Linked DNA regions of Oryzias latipes. The protein of the gene in region 1 interacts with the protein of each later gene in a pairwise test. Links are inferred from orthologs where the notes say so. Each region holds a gene or a part of one and is shown in the gene's direction. Other genes may lie near its edges.

Region 1 (5,164 bases):
TGGAATTTCTGCAAAGTATTTCTCAAATTATGTTGTTTCCCTTTCGGCTTTTCCCATCAGGGGTCGCCACAGCGAACGAGTCGCATGGTAAACTTGGCAATGTTTTACGCCGGATGCCCTTCCTGACGCAACCCTCTCAAGGCAACCGGGCTTGGGACCGGCACGGAGGTAGAGAAGGGAACAGGGAGCAGCCCGGATTTGAACCTGGGTTTCACGGACGGAAGGCGCCGCAAACCAGTATATACTGTACAGTATTAAATTCTCTGCATTGAAATTGGTAAAGAGACATAACATCTTTGAATCTACTACCTTTAACTGCAAAAGAGCCATTTGGGCCTGTTTCTTACTGATCAATTCCTAGTGGAAACGGCAACGTCTTATTTTACCCTTTCAAATTTGACAGAAGGGCCAGACCAGGAACAGATCTGTGGCTCGTTTTGCTGATCCACCTGATAAGAAAGAAAAAATGAACTGGAAAAACCTGCTTTAATATTGATTGACATCAAATGTATATATTTTAAAACAGGACATTTTGGAATTTCAAAACTGTGATTTATTTTTCTCAATTTACTGCCAGTCTCACTGATGGGTTGATGTCCCTCAGGAAAAAACACAAACTGAGGGGAAAAAAAGCTGTGTTCGTGTGCTGTTAGTACGATCGGACTGTCCTACAAGGAAAACACACATGAACGTCAGAAAAACAACAAATCTTCCAACTTCACCTGAATGCAAAATAACTTTTATGCACCTAAACAAAGGTACATGTATTTGTAGTGCACCATCTTGGGACTCACCAGAAAATAAAACATTAATCTTTCTGGCGAGCCGGATTTAATAGTTTCATGGCTGCATGTGAAACCCTTGGGGTGTAGTTTGCTCACCTCTGCTTTAGGAAAATGTGATAGTATGTATTTATTGTTTATTTAAAAACTAGCATTTTCTCTAGTGTGAAATTGCATTTTTACTATTGACAGAAGCTGCTTTCAAAATAAAAGACGCAAACAGGATCTTCTCAGTGCAGTTCGTGTACTTCCATGAAAGGTTTTTCTCCAAGGAATCTGAGGTCGGCTTCACAAATACTGCAGACAGTGATTCAAACCTAATCTTTAGCCGCAGATCTTCAGAGGAGCAGCACAGACATCAGTAGCAGACATTGCATTAGGGGCCGATACGTGGCGTTTGCGCTATCTGTGCGGTTTCCCCTGCTGGTCCCACAGCTGCCTCCTTGTCCAAATCTGGATATCTTCTCATTCAGCTGCTTCAAATGCCCCAGCATTCTGTTACATTTGTAGTGAATGGGGGAGGGGGGGGGCATCTAGGGGGGATATTAGGAGCATGTTTTATATGCATGAACGTTTTCTTGCAGCTCCAGCATGGTGTATAGTATATATAGTAACCTGTGGTGGTGGTGTTTACACAATAAGTGGGGGTCCTCGCTCATTCATGAGTGGGCTAACCTGGACATGGGAGCCAGTCCATATGAGTAAATGTTTGATTGACACGAACAATCAACCAATGAATGACGTCGGTAGGCAACTGTCTGGATTTCATTGGCCCCTTCGCTGGACCAGCCCTTATTTGCTAAACCAATTAATGGGATCTGGAAGTGATTGTTGACCGTTCTGACCAATCAGAAGGCTAATAGGGGGCAGGACGGGCGGGGCTTCACTGGGAGGGGGCGGGGCCTTTCAGGTCATTCAGTCCCTTTGCGATTCAGTCAATCGGCGTGTTTGCGGGGATTGGTGGCTGCTGTGAGGAGTTGCCGGGCGGTGGTGCTTTGAAAAACGCCTTTGTGAAGAAGAGACGCCGCTGAGAACCACGCCACCGACCGAAGACACGGCCGCCCCGGTGACGACGCGCGCGAGACTGTTCCGCGCGGAGATTACGCCACACGCACGAGCCCTCAAACGCAGCCAGGCTATCTGACTGTAGCATGCTAGCACTCCCGAAAACAGACGCTAGCCTCCAAGCTAATTACCCATCAGTCATCGTCCTCCGGCTCCTTGGGCATCGTTAGCTCGGTTCTGCTGGTGCCGGCGCCTTTGTTGTCGTCGCGAATTCTCCAGAACCGACCCAAAGAGAGCGCTGTTCTCCCCCCTCAGCTGGCAGTGGCAGTAGTAGTCTGCGTCGCCGCGGTTCAGACATCATCCCTGCCATCGGTCCGGACCCGTCACCTCTCTCTGCCCCTTCTTGTCCTCCACCCGGAACACTGGAAGTCCACAAGCGGCCGGATAGCGGCGAGGGGCCGGCGAAGCTGGGGGCGGGAACGTTACCGGACTCGCAGCCGCAGGGAGCCGTTACGCCAACGGACGACAAGCAGCAGCACAGCCGCGCGGACTCACCGGCGACGGGGATGGACGGGCTGGCCGTGGAGGTTCGCGGCTCCAACGGGGCCTTCTACAAGGTAAGCGGGGTTTCTACCGCCCGCCTCAAAGTCCGGCTTGGCCAGAACCGGCTTCGGAGAGCCAGAATAATTGGGGCCCAGCTGAGCCCGAGTCAGTTAGCTGCGGGTTTGGAGCGGTTCGACCGGGTCGGGTTAGCTAGCTTTGGTTAGCGGGGTGAAGCTAGGTCCTCCTACTCGTCGTCTTCACGCGTGGCCCGTTTGGGTCACGTTGGCGGGACAGTTCGGTTGAATTCGGGGTGTTTGGTGGGAGGAAGGCTCGGTCCTGTGAACGGGGTGGGTTTCGATGATCCAGACAGCTGTCGTGAGGTCGGTGAGGTGATGCTCCGTGAAGAAGCGGAGTGACCTCACCGCCACCATCATCATCATCATCATCATCAGTCCTGCTTTGGGCTGCTGATGCCTCACATGAGGAAGGGCGACGGTTTCTGTTTCAGTTCTGGCTGATCTTACTGAGAAACCAAACCTAAGGCTTCCCCCACCCTCTGTGCTTCCACTGAGGGGGGGTTATTATTGTTATTATTCTATTTATTTCAATGGAAACGAGTAGACTCCTCATCTGCTTCCACACATCTGAACCGGTTTGTCCCACAGGCAGACATGGGTCTCCAGTGGTCTGGACTTTGGTAACTCGGGGGTTCCATGTGCTCCATCTACCCCCCTCCCCCTGGGTTCAGTGATGGTCCTAAATTTACTCCTGTGCAGCTTCACCTGTTGTGTGTCTTACTGGTTGTCAGTGCGCCGTTGGCATGAATGACGGTTTTCCACTTTAGCGTGAGGCTCTGACCGCCACAGAACTGCCTCATTATTCGCATTTTAAACAGCAATTAATCCAAGCATTGACCTCCAAACAAAAGGTATTAATCGGAGATGCAACCATTCACTTTCCCCACGTCTCTGTTCGCGTGTTACAAATAGGGCTGTAAGAATATCACTTGTGGTTCCGGTTTATTCTTGATATCTTTTCATTCTGATTCTCTGACCTGAAGTGGATCCAGATCCTCTTGATCCAAACTTCCAGCAGTGAGACTCAGACAGAAATTCCTGCTACTGAACAGTTTTCCAGATTCTTGGATTTCTTCCAGATCATCAAGTTAAATGAAATCTGTGTCCAAACCAACAAGTAAACTAGAATGAATGTCAAATCCATTCACATGTTAGTTTCCTAAACTTCAGCGCTGTTGTGTTTCCACATCCAGAGAATCCAAAGGGAACATTCTAGCACAGGGGTGGGCAAACTCCGGCCCGGGGGGCCACACGTTAAAGGATCTGATCCGGCCCGCCAAACTGGGAAAAGTTAAATTGATCATCCTTACAAAGGTTTTATTTTTCCTGTAATTCATAAATGGTGCTCTGCAGATAAAGTGAGCTTTACTTTGGTGTAGAAAGTAATTCAGCACTCGTGTTGGAAGATCTGTTGTTTTTCAGATGTTTCTGACAATTCCAACCGCACCTGAATGCAGCATTTCTCTAATTTGGCTTATTTCCCCCCTGAGGGACATCAACCCATTGGCTCTAAAATGAGAACAAAATCATCCAAATATGTTGCGTTTTAAAATAAAATCATTTTTTATTAGTTCAAGCATGTTTTCATCCAGATTCCGTGTTATTTCTTTCTCTGACGAGGTGGACGACACGCCACGCATCAGCTGCTGGTCCGGCCCTCGGCGGCCCACGAGTCCCCGCCGTTGTTTAGCTCACTGGATGGTCACATGACTATATTCAAAGTGTTTCCACACGTTGGACTGGAATGATAGACTGATCCGTGTTTGCTGATGTCATCCCATGTGTTGTCAGCGGTGATTGGTCGTTTTCAATCCAAATGGTATTTTCCAATATCAACATAAGCGATTTATTTCAATGATTTTTACGACTTTGATTCGATGAACAACTTTCCTCAGGCGGATCCATCAGGTTGGATCGTAGGAACAGAAATCCGTTCATGGTTTCACCCCCACAAGAGTAAACCAACCTAAATGCTAGAACAGACTGAGCATCAATGAGTGTAGCTTAATGTCAGGATTGAGTTGAGGGTTAAATTCCCTTTTGCCTGCAGTGACTGCAAGGCACCAGGCGTGGCAAACAAAGGACCTCGGTACCGGTGTCATTCCTGAAAACATCTGGAGAACCTTCAGCCATTGTTGTTGTATTTAGTTGTTTTTTTGTAGATTTTCTATAAAATTGACAAAAATAACTACATTTGACTCTGGATAGTTAAATCAACCCCTTTTTCCATTCTTATTTAATTGGTCTGGGACTCTTGCAGCCCTTTGGGTCCACAGTCAGACCCTGTTCTGATTGAATGGGCCTCCACTTGTGTTTGGGAATCTGTCGGTCCTCCACTCCGACACATCCACGCCTTTTCAGTCACTCCTGCAGACGCGGTTCATGCATGACAGCGAGGCCTTTGGTGAAATCTGCAGCTAAACTGTGATGACTCGAGGTGTAAGAAGCCACACGTGTGACAAACCAGATGTGGATCAGGCGCCACGCCCAGCTCATCCAACGTGCACGCAGTTACAGTGTCACGTTCAGCTTTCTGTGCAGGTGTTTTTCCTGAGCTGAGCCCTTCGCTGAACCCGGCCCAGCATTTCCAGCCGCCTGACCCGTCTGGTTCCTAAAGGGCAGCTTTTGCCGGGCTGAGGGGCGTCTGCTCATGAAAGCTTCGCCTTGCCGCTGTCCTCTTGAGCGGCGTGGTTTGGAAGCCTTTCCCGCCGGTTTACAGCCAGAGAGCGAGCACTTGAACGCAGTTTGTGTGGCAGA
Region 2 (5,134 bases), on another chromosome or scaffold:
ACTGACACGGGAAGCACCTGCAGCCCAAATGCACACCCACCGGCAGGTAAAAATGAAAACAAGCTGTGGCATAAAACCCCAATTTGACTGCATTTGACTGAAGCAAAGAGAGGCCAAAACGCTCATTAGAAGCTACTTGGTTCATTTGAACAAAGATAAAAAGAAAAATGGAGGAATTTGCTTAATTTTTAACCATAAAGGATCATAAATAACGTGTGTGTGTGTGTGTGTTCTTGGTGCTGTAGAACTGTTGTGAAAAAAACATGTGCTGAAAAGAAAAGTGACTCATTCTGACGTTTACTGTAAATAGATGGTTGTTGAACTGGTTTCCTTTTGACTTGAGGCCTGATCTGACCCCGTGTGGACAGAAGGTGTAACTGAAACAGGAGCCTTACTCAGCATTAGATTAAAAAAAGAAAAAAACAGAAGTGATGACTTTAAAGAGGAAATGTTTTGATTTTTCTGCTGTGATCATGAATCCACTTTGCCTTTCATTAACATGGCAGGTAAACATCTGTGTTGAACCAATGGCTGAAGCTCTTTTTAGCTTTGCTCCCATCAAAGACCAGCAGATGAGTTTTGAACACAGCCTCAACCTTTTTGCAGCCTATAGGAGCAACAATGCGACTCAAGCCGTTTACATTTCAGAGCAGTCTCTATGTGTGTCTCATGGATTGCGACTCTTGTGTTCATGTTATGAATGAGTCATGCTGCTCCTCTTTTGAAATGAGTGACAGCTGCCTGTTTCTAAGCTACAACGGTGTTTGTGATGACGTTACACAGGATCCAACAGTAGTAGGTTGGGTGGAGACAAAACCAGGCAGATAATCCGCTCTAATGTGGGTCTGTTATGTCAGAGTCCCCTGAAACTGACGCTTGAATGACTCATTAGTATTACGCTGCTCCAAAAGTTAGCTGAGCCAGTTTTTCTTATATATGCTAAGAAAGACAGCTCTATCTGCCTCATATAATGTTTCCTATAAGTTGCATTTAACTTTTTTAGACTTCATCTAGCTTGTGAAATGTTTGAATTCAAGTGAAATAAAATGAACAAGCTTGTTTCTATTATCACATTTACTTTACAATGTAAATTTTAAATGAATTATCAGTGAATTTGGTACTTTTTCATCATTATTGATTACTTTTACGTGTGAAAAGCAGACAGTATTCCGGAAAACTGATTTGATTTCCTTTCACAAAATACGCACCAGAACTGACTGTACAATTGCCCGGCATAATGCAAAAGATAAGAGCGCATTTAATCTGCAAATACTAGATTATCTAAGATTAGGCTTTTTAAGTTTAAAAAGTCAGATCTGTGATGATTCTATTAGATTTTTGATTACAAACAAACAATAATTGAATGTACTGCTTCCTAAACAAAGAAGTGAAACAAAGAAACTTCTAGGAATGTTAAGTCAGCCTGGAAAATCTCTGGTTTGTTGGGATGTTTATAATTAATCCTTTTTTAGGAACCGCGTTCAAAATTAATGAGAGAGACGAACCAAGACCTGCCTGGATTTTGGTATTTTAGTCAGTCATTTAAAAAACAATGGAAGTATAGGAAGGTAAGATGCTTGTCCTGTATATTTTTCTTTCATCTAGTCACCACTAAACCCTTTCATTTTTCTAACTATGTTTAGGACAGCTGTAAATCAAATATCTACATTTAACAACCTTTTGACAACTTTACTAATTTCCCACCAGCCTGAAGTAAGCACGGCCTTTAACTCTGTGTAGTCAGTAACTCCCTCCAGGTCTCCCCTCACAGAGCAAAAGCACTAAATGTTGCAAAACACCGCCATCTTTGTTTAAATCAACAGAAAAACATAAACTTTTCTTTACCAGCATCAAGTTTCGGCCGTTCCCCTCGTCAGCAAGCATCCCTGGCCGTCGCTTCCCCGCCGGCCATTCTGATTGGTCGCCTTCCCTGCACCTGTTCGTTCCTTCCGCCAATCACGCGCTCCGAACGTTACTCTCCAAGATGGCGCCGTACAGGACGCAGTTTCCCTCATCGTAGCCTCGGCAGCTTTTTCGTTTCTGCCCATCGACCGTTCGGCTCTCCGAAGCGAGCTAAACGGGGCCCGCGGTCCTTCTTTTTCTGGGAGACACGGAGGCGGAACAACCATGGTTCCGTCGCGCCCGGAGCCGGTCTGAAGGCAAAGGGGAGGGGGTGCGAGTATGGCCACCGACAACAGGATCAATTTCTGGAGGAGAAACCCAAAGGTTCCCGGAAGGTTGGTTTCCTCACCTTTATATCAGTTTGAAATAAAACTGTGTTTGCGTAGCGAGTTTCCTGCCGATGCTGTTAAAGTTTAAGTCTCTCGATGAGCCATTAAACACCTAAAACCTGTGATCTGTCAAAGGAACAAATCTCATAAACGCATTCTACACATTTTCCTTCGGACGTTTTTATTTTATTTTTCCCCCCATGATTGAATGGGTTTTGAGATGTGAGCCCCTCCATCTCTGCTCTCTGCGGTTTCTGCCGTTCGTGGAGGGGGTGTCAACGGTCACACCCGCCATATGCTTTCCCAGACTGCACTGAGCGCGGCTGACAGACAGCCGGGAAAGTGCTCCATGTTTACATTTTCCTCACTCAGGATGCTCCCTGGGCTTTTCTGTGCCATCCCGCCTAGTTAGTAACTGTCTCTTCTCTGACCACTTATCACGTCACCGTAGAGCAAAATAAAATGTTTTTTTAAGTTATCTGCTTCAATAATATTTAAAGAGATTGAACTGGTAATGAACGCCATCTTTGTCCAGAGATGGAGGCCAAAGAGGTTTACAGAAAAACTTAATTTAAAGTCATTACTCACCCGGCGTCGTTGTTGGTACATGTAAAAAGTTCATCAGTCTGATTAGTTTGACAACATTAGTAATACATTTTGACTATTGAAAAAGGTGTAAATAAAAGTGCATTTCGTGCTAGCGTCCGCCCATTCAATTAACATGGCAATTACAGTAAAATAAACTAATTTAAACCTGAAATTTTGGGTTAAAGTCCTAAAAAATATAGGCTTTTGTTAAGTTGTTAAGGGTTTGATTATAGGGTGAGTTAAAAAGATGTAAAATAGAAATTGTCTTGTGGCTGAGCCACAAAACGGATTTTTGCCGGCTAACCGAATCAAATCAAACTTTATTGACAAAACAGATTTCAGAGTGACACAAAGTACTTTACAAAATAAAAGACTCTGCCAAAATTAAAAACTAAAGGCAAACAAAGCATTAAAAAAAAATAGAAAACACACACACACTACCCTGACACAACTAACAAAAACATTAACATAGATGAGATTATAAGTAGAAAAAAATAGAAACATGCAATGTTTCAACAAAGTACTAATCATTTGCAAATATTCACCATGTCTTATTTATCATCAGTTTAACAGGCGGAAAAAAAACGCCGACATCTCTTAGAGTATTTTAGCCAAGAGAAGCAACAGACAATAAAACACAGAGTGGCTAATGGTAGAGTGGCCACCCTGAGATGCAGAGACTGTGGGTTCAAAAATCCACAGACCTCCCAGCTTGACCATCAGAATCAGACTATGTGGGTCAGGTGTGGAGAGCAGGCGTCACTCACCAAGCTCTTTGTTTGTCATCCAGTCACTCACACAAAACCCACAGTCTCACATCCACGGCAAGCATGGCTAAGGGTTGGGTGTCTTGCCCAAGGGCACCTCAAAAGCAGGGAAATAATGACTTCTGTACCTACCTCCAAGCCACAGCTGCCTAAAGCTTTACTGGCTAAAGCCATCATCTTCTCGTCTTATTTTGATTTTTAAGGAATCTGTCAAATAACTATTTACAGCCAATAACTGAGTTGTTTGTAGTGCTAGAATACCAGCTCAAACAGTTTGTTGACGTCAGCATGTTGCATGCTCTGCAGAGGTTATAGGAGGTTTGCTTCAGGTCGTTGGGTTCAGCTCAGGCTTGTATCTGGGAGGCTGTTGGCGCTCTTCTGTTGGGGTTTTCCTGCTGGGTCATGTGACACAACAACATTGTTTTTGTTACATGATCCCAGTTTTGACCAAACCTTAGCTGTCTGTGACAAAGGGCCTCACATCTGACGGGAGCAGAGGAGTTAATAATTGACTAACCTGGTGTCAAATTCCCAGCTTCTGTGACCCCGAAGCAGAAAAATGCTCCATCGGCGTACATGACAGTTTGAACCGGTTAGCTGTTTCGCGGTTTCATGGTCTGTTCATCTTTTGTATGGTGTTTTCTTAATGCTTTTTGTTTACCATTCCAGTGTTGATGTGTTGTCGTCCACACGGACAAAAGCTCCGGGACAGCAGAAGGTTTATCTTCTATGGATAAGTTGCACTGCCTTTCAGATAACTTGCAATTTTTCATGATGCTTTTCTGTGTTTAATCTCTATGATTGAACAAGAATCTGTTTTTATCTCCCTTGACTGTTGCTACAATGCCTTTAAATGTCCTCAGAAGCATACATTCAGGAATCCTGTATTTGTATGGATTTAAGGTCTCCTCTGGGTGTAAAACCCTTTGCTTAGAACAGATTTTTTCATCCTTCATGATGATGTTGTGCTGATTTTTCTTAATTCCCCTAATTTCTCTTCAGAGAACAGACGTTGTAAAACATGTTGTGGGTGTATGAATTTCTGTTTAGACCTCCTGTCGGTTTCATTTGATGAAACACAAAGCCTGGCGCTGAACGTGTCCCAGCTTGCGTACATTGCTCACCAGCTGTTGTGGCGCTCAACAATAAGAGCAGCAGGAAAACACTTATGGTTCGTGTATACATCAAGAACTGAGAACCCGTCTGGTCTCATCGATGGGACGTTTGTGCTGGGAAATTCTTATATATTTTATGACTTGAGGAATGAGTTTTGCGGCTGCCAGTGTGAAGGACAGAAAAGGAGGAGCTGGATCTCCTTGGGAAACCTGATAAGGAGAGGGTGTGGCTGCCTTTGTCACACAAACGGATCTTTCTCTAAAAAACAGCCGAGAACGGAGAAAGGCAAAACACAAACGTGTGCTTGAGCAAGAGGGTGGCCAGTCTCGCTGCTTGTCCTTGAGGCGCTCCTGATAAACGAGTGGAGGGCTGATAAAGGACCGACCCTGGCAGCGCAGATAAACCCGGGTTCTCAGCTGCATGACTTCTTAT
Region 3 (5,151 bases), on another chromosome or scaffold:
ATCTGGAAGAATGAGGTTCATGTGTCCAGTCAAGTTTAATGCCAAGGAGTAATTAAGCATTTCTTGCAAGCTGTGATAGTCCAACATGTTCCCTTTTCTCTTGATTTGTATCCACTGTGTGTGTTTGTACTGCTTCTGTAAAGACTCATATGTGTTTTAATCAGAACATTTATGTAGTTTTACCTGCAAAGTCTAGATTCAGTTAAAGTATCAAACACGTGGTTTCCCTTGTTTATGATCAAACAACCACAATACTAAGCTATCCTATAGAACCTATATTAATGATAACCGATCAATAATATTTATATATGCTGACACTCACATAGGAATCAAGCCAGTTATTAAACGATTATTGGGCCTTTTTCTACATTACTGCTTCACTTTTGCTGTGTTGTATCCTTTTTGAATTACTAATGTGTGCTTTTATGTGTACTTTGTAGGTTATGTTTAGGGTCATCTGGATTTTAACACCCAAATGTTTTTTAACTTGTTAAAAAAAAACTTAAAATCCCACTCCGATAATCCTTTGATCTAAATTCAAAGCGTTCCCAGTGTTTTTAATTAGGGTGATCCCGTTTTTTGCCTAAATCACAAGTTCTGTTTCCTAGAACATAGTTTCTGCAGGAGTTTTATCGGGAATTCACCTCTAAGTTATAGACTGGACCGTTGGTGCAATGTGAGCCTTCCCACACTCCCATCATCCATCTGTTTACACTCTGTCACAGCCCCTCACACCTCCAACTGCTGTGACCAAAATGGCGAGCAAATTTGGAGCTATCCAGCCACAAACAAAGATGTACATGCATCTAGTCATTTACAAGTGGATGTATCAGAATGGAGCAGGGCCGGGAATTTGCCAACTACCTACATCACTGCTACAAGCTTTTCCAACAAGATTTTTTTCGTCTGCTCCTAATTCACAATTTAACTTTTTTTTAAATACTCAGAATCACAAATTTTAAGCGTAATTTTCTTTATATAGAGTGAAGACCGAAAGTTTGGACACACTTTGTGTGTACAGTCCAAACCTTTGGTCTACATCCTCCATCATGAGAAAAATGCTACCAGAAAATTTTAAAAACACCCAAAATGTAATTTTCATTGAAGTGGGTAATAATTGTTTATATTTTGCGCAAATATACTGGATTCCTTTTATGTTTCACGAAGCTAAATAAACATCAATATGTTACAATAATGAAGAGTGTAATCAGAATAAAATAATCTATTCTGTTATGATTTCAAAATAACATGGCCATGCTTGTTCCTGTATTTTGTTACGTTTCTCAAAGAAGAGCAGCTTATCCTGAACTGTGACTTATTTATAATTTTTGTTCCTTCTTTATCGTCCACTTTTTGGCTGCTGCAGCTTGTACTCCAGAACAATTTGTAGCCTGAAAAATACACTATATTTAAACCAAATTAGAACTGTATTTTTGTACAATAAGCAAAGAGTTTCTTTCTTTGTCAGGAGGTGCTAAGGACTAGTGGTCTTAAAACTCAGCAATTAAAGCACCACATTATTATGCTGCGTCTATTAGCAGGAACAGTCATGTTAATTTTTAATGTGAAATCATGGAAAACATACAAATGAGTGGGGAAGTGATTCACAGGAGCATCACAACCATTCAACACACTTATTTCCAAGCGTTATGTGATGTCTAACAACAATTTAAAACATCTAAAAAGTAAATAAATGACTAGTTGGTTTTTAAGTGGGGCAGCAGAGTTTTAACTGTAAAGGAGCAGTGTTTACTTAATGGTGCGTTAATCCCCCAAACACGCCTCAACAAATAATAATGGCACCTTCCAAAGAAAGAGCGACAAGAATGGCCTGTTCCGACTTAGAAAAAAAAAACACGTTTTACTTTAAAACTCTTGTTCGCTCTGGGTTAACGCATTTAAAGCTAAAAATAAAAGTTTTCCAAGTTTGGTCACACATAAAGGGGGGGGGGGTGATACCAATCAAGCTGGTGTTCGTGACTTTTCCACATTCTCTGATCAACAGTTAAGGAAACGCGTCTGTCGTGGAAAAGCGCTCGCGCCCGCCTGCTGCTGGGAACTTTCCTTTCATCTTCCGGTACTTGTTGGGACTCCTGCGGCGCCGCGCGCACCGAACTCCCTGCTCCCGGAGGCGAGGAGACAACCTGGCTGGAAGGGGGTATGGTTGTAGAAGAAGAGGAGGAGCGCTGTGCTGTAGTTTGTGGTAGCTCCACGACACTTGAGTGCAGGATTAGCATGTGCGCCGCTGTTTGCTGCGGTTTCTGTCGGTCGCGGTGAAGCAGAGCCGTCGAGCTTCTTCTTCACGCACGCAGGTGTGCGTTTCCTCTCAATTAGCCTGAGTGTGGACTCATTGACGCGGTGGCAGTCCGCAGAGGTCCTTCACTTCAGCGACCGCCCTGAAGAACAACGTAGGTTATCAAGTATTTTAAATGTTTTATCGACGTTTACCCTATTTAGCCTCAGCAACTCGTTGAAAATCACATCAAACGATGCTTTTTTTTCATTAGTCGAAATATCAATTCTGTTTTAATTTGTGATTATTATCAAAACTAATTATTATTTAGAAGGTAGCCATTCGCAAACATTTGTCATTTTCAGTTGAAAAATAAAATATGGCCTCAATAATGTGTTTTTAAAAACTCGTTTGAATTTTAGTGTTATTTCCTGTTCAATTGTAAGTTGCCCTCCTCCTCCTGCTGTCCTGCTGGTACATTATTATTTTTAGTGAGGCTCAGGCATTCAGAAAACGAGGAAAAAGCCTTTCCAGTCTGTGTCTTTGCCTATTCACTGTAAATTAGTTTATACATCTATATGAGTTTTAACTGACACCATAACAGATGATCACTGTCAGATGAAGATTAAATAAATAAACTGCTGAACTCCACCCTGTCATCTCTCTGCTGGAGGGTGGGAACCAGGCATGACATTCATGTTGTTTTACCATGGTTGACTTTAAACGACCTCACTCCCCGTCAGAGGCACTCTGGTGGATTTTTAGACGCCCCTACATGCTGGATCTGTATTCCCACCCATCAGGGAATAGTTGATAGTTTGCTTTACAGCTGCAGATTTATGTCTCATGTCATGTGAAAATGTTAATTTCTTGGCAAACGTATTTTAACCTTTAAAGGAGGTCTACTTGAATATGTGACTTTATATTTTTTGGGTTTGTTCTGCAAGGCTAAACACAGATTCAGCTTTTGCTGTCTTCCCAAACTGTGGCTTCCTCTTCATGGATCTTGTCTCAGTGGAACGGCTTTAGCCTTAAACCAGTTTATCCACACGGTTCCTAATTGAAATCGCCATGGCTCTGGAAATGATCAATCTGAGCTTCTTGTCCGACTTGGAGCGGGAGAAGATCCTGGAAGTGCTGAAACGGGACGAGGAGCTGAGGCTCACGGAGGAGCGGCGTGTACGGTAAGAAAACAGAAACTCTTATTCGTTTTTACAGTTTCTATAATCTGAAACATTTAACACATGTAAATATTTTAAGGCATGACTAGGACTGAGCATCACTGCCAAAAATACTGAACTGATTTGACATCGCTTCGATAACTTTTGACTTGATTTTGAATTTGATGCGATTTGATTTAATACTTATTAATCAAATTTCTATATAACCCAATTTTGTTTAGTTTTTAAAAAGTTTTCACACAACAACTGATATAAACTAAACAAATATGGAACTTTTATTACTAAAAATTCTCACATTTAAAACGTTTGAAAGCACTTTTTTGTTAGAAAAACAAGTGTAAGAAATTATTAGAAGACCCACTCTAATGGAAATAGATTAATGAACATCTTCATTTTTGTTTTTTTTACATTTTCTTGGAGCATTGTTCTTATGATGGAGGCATATGTGAAGGAAATTAGGATTAAAGTTTCTTTATTCAAATCAATGTAATTCAGGAGCAGAAGAACAAACACTGTTTGAAAGAGCTTGTCATTGCAGCTCTCCTCCGCTCCATTCCAGTGCATCCACTTGTAGACAATTATATCCATTAACGTCTTTTCGTAGCACCAGTAAAGTTAGGTTGAGGTTGTGAAGGGCTGTAAGCCAGTGGGAGAGAGTGTGAACAGAAGAGGTGATGGGAAATGAGTGAAGGCTTACTATCCACCAAGAGTCTAACCCACAACTCAGAGGTGAATTTCTAATAAACTACTGCCGCGCTGCAGAAAAAATGTCCTATAAAAAGTCTTTTTTTTAGATTGTTTTATCTAAAAATATAAATAATATTAATTATAAGACCTCTGGGAACACTTTTACAATAGATCAAAAGATGATTGGAGGGGAACTTTAACTGAAAACTTTTTTCTAAAGTAAAAAAATAAGATCAATTTGGTGTTAAGAGATACTTTTTTTTAACCCTTCAGCTCTTGGATTTCCTAGAGAATTTGGATTTTATGAAGTTATTTATTTAAATAATAACACTGACATGTTTATTGTTTCATCTATGCCAGAAAGTGTAGTAAATGTACTTGGAAAGCGTCTTCTTCATCCTGGATAAATGGCTTTAGCTCTTTGCTGATTTTAGGATAATTCTTTTAAAGACATTGGCATGATTGATGCTTGTTTGAATTAATTGTTCCTGAGCAGGTTCTCCTGCATTTTAGTTAGTATGGTGTTTCTTCAAGTAACCTGTTGCTTTATTATTCAAAGATTTAAGACTTCCAGGTTTTTACCACTATCAGGATCTGGGATTTAACCAAACTATCTCCAGATCTCAGCCCAGTTTTCCAGCTACAATATGATTCACTATGTCGTACCAGGGTATATCACCATGGTAACTTCTGCTGCACACATACTCACCTCCACAGCGGATCTGGGCTTGTCCAGAGTGAAGAAAGAAGCACATTTAAATTTAGAAATGCCTTCTTCTTAGCTTCTCCTCCGGGCTACAGATGTAGAAACTATCTGGGATTTATCTGGATTATATTTTGAAATTTTTCAATTTTTTTAAGAAATCGTTTCTCTGGTTTCAAATATCTTTTTTGTCATTAAATAAAACATTGAAGCCCTTTTTTTAAAACCCATAAAAGTTTTTAGATGTGCTTTGAGTGAGTCTTGGAGCAGTAGAATTTATATTTTTAAAGACCCACTGCGATCATCTTTTGATCCATTGTAAAAGCGTTTGTGAATTTGCCTGAGAG

What was found.
Region 2: the proteins of fragile X mental retardation syndrome-related protein 1 (region 1) and tbc1d22b interact in binary tests that used the Homo sapiens proteins (3 or more experiments, as listed by UniProt). The link is inferred for Oryzias latipes from reciprocal best matches to the Homo sapiens genes FXR2 and TBC1D22B.
Region 3: the proteins of fragile X mental retardation syndrome-related protein 1 (region 1) and sytl4 interact in binary tests that used the Homo sapiens proteins (3 or more experiments, as listed by UniProt). The two-hybrid records come from large-scale screens. The link is inferred for Oryzias latipes from reciprocal best matches to the Homo sapiens genes FXR2 and SYTL4.

Annotation. Positions count from the first base shown.
Region 1 is NC_019876.2:28,852,389-28,857,552, forward strand, and holds the start of fragile X mental retardation syndrome-related protein 1, read left to right. Parts: upstream 1-1,702; 5' UTR 1,703-2,353; coding exon 2,354-2,404; intron 2,405-5,164. UniProt on the Homo sapiens protein: mRNA-binding protein that acts as a regulator of mRNAs translation and/or stability, and which is required for adult hippocampal neurogenesis. Specifically binds to AU-rich elements (AREs) in the 3'-UTR of target mRNAs.
Region 2 is NC_019865.2:4,890,292-4,895,425, reverse strand, and holds the start of tbc1d22b (TBC1 domain family member 22B), read left to right. Parts: upstream 1-1,974; 5' UTR 1,975-2,181; coding exon 2,182-2,237; intron 2,238-5,134. UniProt on the Homo sapiens protein: May act as a GTPase-activating protein for Rab family protein(s).
Region 3 is NC_019868.2:10,075,032-10,080,182, forward strand, and holds the start of sytl4 (synaptotagmin-like protein 4), read left to right. Parts: upstream 1-1,991; 5' UTR 1,992-2,408; intron 2,409-3,180; 5' UTR 3,181-3,304; coding exon 3,305-3,417; intron 3,418-5,151. UniProt on the Homo sapiens protein: Modulates exocytosis of dense-core granules and secretion of hormones in the pancreas and the pituitary. Interacts with vesicles containing negatively charged phospholipids in a Ca(2+)-independent manner.